Linked DNA regions of Struthio camelus. The protein of the gene in region 2 binds, or shares a complex with, the protein of the main gene of each other region. Links are inferred from orthologs where the notes say so. Each region holds a gene or a part of one and is shown on either strand. Other genes may lie near its edges.

Region 1 (3,746 bases), on a different chromosome or scaffold from region 2:
ATGTTAGACAGTAGAGAGGCTATTTTGAACATGTACAAATTATGCAATCAATAGTTCACACGTGAGTACACTTAAGATTTTTAAAGCTCAAAATATTTATTTTTGAGAAAAAATTTCTCAGCAAGCCCTCAACACAAAAATATTTAAAATAACACAGGCTATATATAGACATGGGTTTGTGTAAAAACAAGAAAACTTAGAGATTAAGAGGTTAATTCAAATCATTTAGTTTGCAACAAATTCATTAAATCAAATAGTTAAGAAAAATATCCCTAGTATGGTACAATACCTGGTTTTAGTCAGTCCTCCCCGAATGAAGAACACTCCAGCTGCATCAGAATCTAAATGCATTACTTGAAATTTCAATTCATCCCCTAGTTTCAACCCCAGCTCTTGCCACTGGGCAACCGACATTTGTTCGGGTTTAGGGATAGAAGCATTGAAGCATCCATGTATCAGACAGCCGATATGACTAGGGGCTACTTTATTAATTACACCCTAAAAAAAACCCAAAAAACAGTCATATGAAGATATATTAAGGATCACCTCTTTAAAAGAGACACATGATGTACATTTAGTTTCCTGTACAGACACTCTTGCACAATACTCTTTGTGCACAAGTTACTTGTTAGATAAACTGACCTCATACATTAACTGATTTTCATGTAGAAAAGCTACTTACGCCCAAAGCTATTTTCATACAGCTCTACTCAAATTAAAGACTGAAACTGTATCTGCAAAAAGAAATGTGTTCAGAAAAAGAAAGTGAGAAGCTACATAGAACAGTTAACTCTCCTCACACTGCAGTGACCAATGTTGATTTAAAGCCATTTTAAGCCTGATTTACATCTCTAAGATGACTTTCACCTCTGCAGTACCTGTGACACAAAAAACCTGTAAGTGCTCTATTCAGTGCATTTGTGACACATTTGCATATTTAACTTTATCTATCTTCTCCTTTTCCTAGAGATGAATGAACTACACAGAGGGTTCTTCCATTCTCTTCCCCTGAAGGGAATACCTTTTACATCTCAATTACATTTATAGAGGAATACAAGCCATACTTCCAAAAGTATGGCACAACAACAAAAGTCAACCCTCAACTTATTACTCCCACAAGTACTGGCATAAGGGTGTTAACAAGCTTAAAGCTCTTCCATGAGTCATATATCACTTTTTATTGAAATGCAGGCTTACATTTGATGTACTGCACTTGCACTTAAAGAAACTCTTCAATGTGTTCTAAACACTCCTGTCACTATTAAAGGAGAACAAACTAAACCGGTTTTAAGAGTTATATCTGCTGCTTAGAAAGGAGCACTGACATTTAATAAGTTTAGGAACATGCAGCACAGACTATGAAAACATCCACTATAGAACTACCTAAGACTCCCCAATCTCTTCGTGATGATTTTGATTACTTAAGAGAAAATGACCCCACGAGATGGCAACATATTTACATACCACCAGTTTTTTCCCTTTCTTGGGACTGAAGATGATGAAGTCCGCCTCAATGTTCAGATGGATGAATCCCTGGTCGTCGTAAATGTCCCCGAGCTCACCCACTACTTTGATGTTGTCATAAGCCACCGGCACTCCTTGAAGGCTGGAAGCAAAAGGGGAGAAGCAGTTAGTATGAGGCTGGCTAGGAGGTGACAGCCGCCAGCGCGGGGAGAGCGCCGGCAGAGCGGGGCGGGAGCTCGCCCTTGCCCCGGAGGGCCCCGGTGGGCTGAGGCCTGGGCTGAGCCCCCCGCCCGCACCTCTCCGAGTAGCGCAGGAGCTCGGCGTCCAGCTGGGCGCGGATGCCCGTGCGCTTGCGGCCCAGGAAGCGCGGCGCCAGGGCGATGTGCCGGCGGTGCGGCGTCACCACGAGGCAGGAGTAGCGGCGCCCCACCAGGCCGCGGGCCACGGCGAAGGAGGGGATCGCCGCGCAGGGCAGCGGGCGGGCGGGCGCCGGCCGCTCCCCCGCCACCTCCATCTTGTCGGTGCTGCCAGGAACGGGGCCGCGCGGGCGGGAGCGACGCCTGTCCCGGCGGCGCGGCGCGGCGCGATGACGCCCCCCGCTCTCCCCTCCCCTCCATGGGCGGGAAGAGGAAGTGACGGAAGCCCTCGGAGAGCGACGCGCTTCCGAGCAGCGAGCAGAAAAGTCGACACCCCGGACCTCCCGCCGCTCCCTCAGCCGGAAGCTTTGTCCTCCAGGTCCGGCAGGGGCGGGGCCGGGCGCCAACGTCACAGCTCTGTGGGTGGGGCCCCCCGGGAGCCCGCTGCGCGCGCACCTGTCTCGGTTTCCAAGGAGACGGGGGGGGGGTCTGTCTGCGGCGGCCGTTGGCGGCGGCCGTGGCGGCAGGCGGGGCCCGGGCGGAGACGCGAGGCGCGGGAGGGGACAGACTCCGCCGCGGGCCCCCTTCCGTCGCTCCTCCTCTGGCGGGAGAGGGAGGCAGGGAAGGGCTCAGTTTTCGATACCTAAAGGAAGTGGAGTCAGAAGAGAAAACGTGAAAAGCCCCAGAGGGTGCTGGGTGGTGTGGGTGGATGGAAAAGAACACGTGCAAGCGTGTCCTACTTCCATTTGTCGAATTCTGTCCCAGAATCAACTCTGATTGCCTCTAATCATTAACTGTAAGGTTAGAAATAATTAACCGGTAAAAAATATATATATTTGCATTTGACAAGCATGTTTAAGCTGTTTTATCGCACCTCGATATCTTTTAAGACCGAGGTGATGACAGCAAGTCTTGGAAATGGAGGTGTGAGCTTCTGTCTTTGGGGACACAAACCTACATTTTCTGCTTCATGCAGGAGTGATGCTGTCCTGAAGGTGTGTAGGTTTTTTTGTTTGTTTATTTGTTATGGACAAATAAGGCGGTGACTATTCTCTGCTGGTTAACATACCCGGTTTGGGAGGAAGTAATCCTAGTTTTGATTTTCACTCTGCAGGTTATTTTTTAATTTTTTACATGACACTTGGATTGGTTTGTTATCATTCTGGATAGTTCAGCATCAGCCGTGACATCAAAAAGGTTGATACAAATTTTGTCATTCTCAACAGCATGTCAGTACAAATGCAGAAATTTCAACTACCTTTAAAAGAAAACTTCTTTGTAATATCAGTCACTGAAATCTGCATCCAGAAGGAGACTTCTGTGCCAGCAGTAGTCTTTGAATGGAACTTAAATCCTAAAAGCTCCTGTTCGTTTGCCACTATTCTTGGAGTCGTCTAATTGTGATAAACATCTCGATTTTCAGTATTGAAATTCTCTGTACGTATGTATCTGTGTGCTAAGAGGAAGCAGGGAGCAGCAGTACGTCATCTGCGTTCCTGCCTCAAGGTTTGGGGTTTCAGTAAAAACATCAGGCACCAGGCAGATAAGGAAACAGCTTTGAGGTACATGAATTCTTTATCAGTATGAAAGTAAGCTGGATATGTAGTACTACCTAGTATTACAGTCTGCTAAATTCTTTTTGATCAGTTGCTCCTTTCTTTGTCTCTAATCTCTCCCACGTTTGTGCACTCCAGAAGAAAACAACATGATAATCTATGGAAGCTGCTAGGAACAGTGGTTTATATCCATAAGCTATATGTATACCCTTAGCTTCCCTATTTTAATCTTCCTTTGATTGTGTCTTAGTGATCAGAGTAATTTAATTTCTCTTTTCAGCTGAAGGATTTTGCATGTAATGACCCTTCTCACACATACAGTTGCCCAGTGATCCTAAATTTGACAGTCAGTAATTTAGACAAAAGATTG
Region 2 (3,746 bases):
ACACTACAGGAGAGATACCGGCTACATCAGCAAACAGGATAAAACAACTGGAGCAGATCTGTGGAGCAGAGCACTTGGGACTATGGATCCAACATGCATAATACACGTTTCAGGTTTCTGTAGTTAGTAGAAGCAGAAACAGACACTAAAAGGAGAGAAAAAAAAGCAGCACCTTTGGGTATGCCCAAAGGCAAGACAAGATGGGTACGCCAACACAAGGCAAGATTCCGCCACCAGGTCCCTGCCACAGGTTTGCCCGCAGCCCATACCTGCATAGGGAATTACATTTCATAACTCCACTGCCAAAGTTATTCCCCACATATGAAAGCCTTTCAGTTTCCGAGACCTGAAAAACACAGGAAAAATTACCTTAACGGGCGGCCATCTGTCTGCGACTAACCTCTATATCCATTTTATTTTCCCAAGTACCACAAAGCTCTGCATTCCCAGGCATCAGATGCTAGTCATGTGTAGATAAAGTGCATTTTGTCTTCTTTGGGAGCATTTTGCATCAGGTCAAAGTCTTTAAAAGAAAGACACTTCTGAAGCTGCAAGTACTTGTTCTTTCTTGGCCTACTTGTTCTATCAAGCAGCCAGAAGACAAAGAATCATTAAAAGGAAATCATGAGACTCATACTTTAAATTAATAGTTCATGGCGGTAACAAACCCACACGTCACAACAATTAAAATACTTGGCTGGGTTGACAACCATGCTTCAATCCAGAAGCAATGGCCAAAAGTTTCCGTGTAACTGTGAATGAGCCATTTAAAGATTTAATGTTGCCAGGTGACCGTAACTGACTGATAAAGAGCAAGCACTATGAGGTAGCACCTAAATACATTTTAAACGCCTGTGCCTCTACTGTATGAAATCCTTCTCCTGAGGATTTGGGCTGAAAACCACCACATATTCCTTGAGTGAGCCATGCATGTAAACAGCTGTAAAACGTCACAAGAGCAGTCAAAAGCACCTTCTGACCTGGAACTCTGCTTTCTCTTCAATGAAAGAAAGAAAAAATTCCTTAAAATGTAATCTAATCAAAAAAAGACTTTGGCAAAGAATTTGGATTCATTGTGTAAACACAACGAAACCAGGAAACAATGTGCAGACTTTGTACTTGCATGGACCTGGTTATCTTTTAAGTAGCAGCTTTTAATTTTCACGCATTACTTCTTTTATTAGCTGGGTTACTAGAGTAAATCAAGCACATGCAACATCAGTATATCAGCATGAGCTTCAGAATACACCACTGTGTATCAATCAAAACTATTTAATTAAGCAGGTATTCAGTTTTGACTGAAAGGTTACTAACTCTCATTTGTCACTATCAGTATAATATACTATACTGTGTGTTTCAGGTTCCTTTCCATTCCAAAAGTCACAGCCCAATAATGCTATGTTTGAAAGAGCACGAGGCTTGTTTCATTCACTTGTCTCATCCTGAAATGCTCAAAAGAGGACAGTTAATGCTTTGAGACCTTGGCAGCATACCAATATTTGGTACTACCTCCCTGCAGTACTGTTGACATCTTGTGGCTTGTTAGAGAAACTATAAACTGCGTTTGCTGGGAACTTCACTCACCAGAACTTCACAGTAAGAAAACAAGTATCTATCCCCTTCTCACCCTCAAGCAGAGCTATCTTGCACATTAAACTTTGCTCTACCCTACCTCCACCACCATCACTCCTCTCTCTACTACAATGGGAGCCAATATCAGAACTAGAACTGCCCAGAAATCCCTAAAATATATCAGGACATAGAGATTTTTTGGAAAAATTGGAAGGAAGGGCTCAAAATCTGATCACTTTTAAAAGAGTCTACAAAATAAAGTCCTTACTGATTTTCAGAGGCTCATTCACTGTATTTGTATTTGCAAAAGCAAATAGGAAACCAAGAAATGCTTTGAAGAGAGGGAGAGAGGTGCCTTAAATATTAGACAACACTTTTTATCTTACCAGGGTTTCTAGTTCTTATTTGTGGAAGCTGTCAGCACCAGAGCCTTGAGGAAAATGGTGTAAAAAATATACCCAAACCTCAAAATATGCAGAGATGGGATTACTTATGCTTCCTAGGCCAGGTGTCAGGTGGAATCTCACCCTGATCCCTAACAGCTGAACAGGAGCTTGGATGCAGAAGGAGGCAGTTTGGGGACTCTTCTGATACACAACTCATTGCTGCTAACATGTAAGTTATTATATAGAAGCTAAAATGTATTAAGTGGGTAATTTTTAGAACTATAGTTGTTACAACAGTAAGTTTAAAAACGTACATATACAGAAACACGTATGTTTCCAAATTTTCCCGGCGACTCCTCTGGGCAAAACCGCCAAAGCTTACAAAGGCCAGGCGCTAGTTAAAAAAGGGTGACCCGGGATGCGGCCGCAGCACTTACCAGGATCCTCCGGTGCCTCTTCCGGGGGTTGGCGCTGTCTCTATCCCGGTACACGGTGAAGCGCATGTCGTCGGCCTCCCGCAGCCTCCCGTTGGAGAACTGGACTGCGGGGCGGACCGGGGGACTGGCGTGAGGCACGGGGCCACCAACAGCCGCCCGCCTAGGGCCGCTCCCCACCCTGCCGCGGAAGAAGCCTCGCGCCGGGCCGGGCCGGGCCCCCTTTCCCCCCCCACCCCCACTTGCTCCAGGCCCACCTCACCTAGCAGCGCGGGCTGCTCAGCCTCGGGATCCCCACGGTATCGCCAGGTGGCGGCGGCCATGGCGCGGCGGCGGCAGCGGCAGCGTGCTGCGGCGGGGGCGGGGCGGGGGGGCTCCGCCTCCGGCCAGGGCGGGCGGGACCGCGCGGGAGGAACCGCCCGCCCGGCCGAGCGGGCCGCCCCCTGCGAGCCGTTCCCCCGCTCAGCATCACCCCCTTAGCCCCGCCGCGGGCCAACCCACTGCTCGGGGCCTACGGCCGGGCCGGGCCGGCGGCTGCACACGCCGGCTGGGCCGGGAAGGGGCGCGGGCCGCTCCCGCCGAGGGCTCGGCGGAAGCAGAAGCGGCCCAATCAGGGGCCAGTTTATTTGCAAGTCTCGGGGGACCTGATTATTTGTCAGTAACGAGGTCGCTGATTGGCTAGAAGGAGGCTGTCGGCCCTGTGGTTGGCTGGCCGGCTCGTCTCCTTGTGGGTGCGAGCGTGCTCCTCTGCATGCCCCGCCCTTTCCCTGCTGAGTGGGCTGCAGCCCTATGGCGTCACTTCCGGCTGGCGGCGCGGCCGCTAGAGAGTAGGGGCTTGTGGGGGGAGGAGGCAGGGTAAGCAGGGCCGCGGACAACGAGCGTTCCCGGCCCCTCCCGCTCTCCGCCGACCCCCCTCCCCCCCCGCTCCGGCCCTTCCCGCCCGGCGACGAAGAGCGACGGGTGGGGAGGGGAACACAGGTGAGCGCGAGGGGGCCGGCCGGCCGGCCGGGGGCAGCGGGCGCGCGTGGCGGGGCGGCGGCGGCGGGTGACGTGTGCGCTACATTAGCGCGGGGGGCGGTGTCCACTGCGCATGCCCGGCCCTGGGCGCCGGCGGAGGGGAGGGGAGGGGAGGGGGCTGCGCCGCGCCGGGCGCCCGGCCCCTCCCGGGGGGGCGCAGCCGCTCCCGCTTTGTCCCCTCTCGCTCCGTTGCGACGGGGCCTAGCGGCTCGGGGGCGCCGGGAAGATGCTGGCGTCTCGGAGGTTTGTCTTCAGGGCTTGGTTTGTGCGTGGGGGGCGAAGAGGGAGAAGCCATCGCGCTTCTCTGTGTCCGTGGTCGTGTTCCAAAGGCTGCCGC

Evidence for each region. Proteins that work in one complex are often made in the same cells at the same time.
Region 1: POLR1E (region 2) and POLR1F share a complex: the UniProt entries of both Homo sapiens proteins name them as parts of the RNA polymerase I (Pol I) complex. The link is inferred for Struthio camelus from reciprocal best matches to the Homo sapiens genes POLR1E and POLR1F.

The regions. Positions count from the first base shown.
Region 1 is NC_090943.1:35,514,509-35,518,254, forward strand, and holds the start of POLR1F (DNA-directed RNA polymerase I subunit RPA43), read right to left. Parts: upstream 2,201-3,746; 5' UTR 1,979-2,200; coding exon 1,761-1,978; intron 1,607-1,760; coding exon 1,465-1,606; intron 499-1,464; coding exon 290-498; intron 1-289. UniProt on the Homo sapiens protein: Component of RNA polymerase I (Pol I), a DNA-dependent RNA polymerase which synthesizes ribosomal RNA precursors using the four ribonucleoside triphosphates as substrates.
Region 2 is NC_090982.1:2,273,966-2,277,711, reverse strand, and holds the start of POLR1E (DNA-directed RNA polymerase I subunit RPA49), read right to left. Parts: upstream 2,775-3,746; 5' UTR 2,716-2,774; coding exon 2,655-2,715; intron 2,500-2,654; coding exon 2,396-2,499; intron 347-2,395; coding exon 270-346; intron 1-269. Other genes in the region: ZBTB5 (zinc finger and BTB domain-containing protein 5), read left to right, coding at 3,636-3,652. UniProt on the Homo sapiens protein: Component of RNA polymerase I (Pol I), a DNA-dependent RNA polymerase which synthesizes ribosomal RNA precursors using the four ribonucleoside triphosphates as substrates.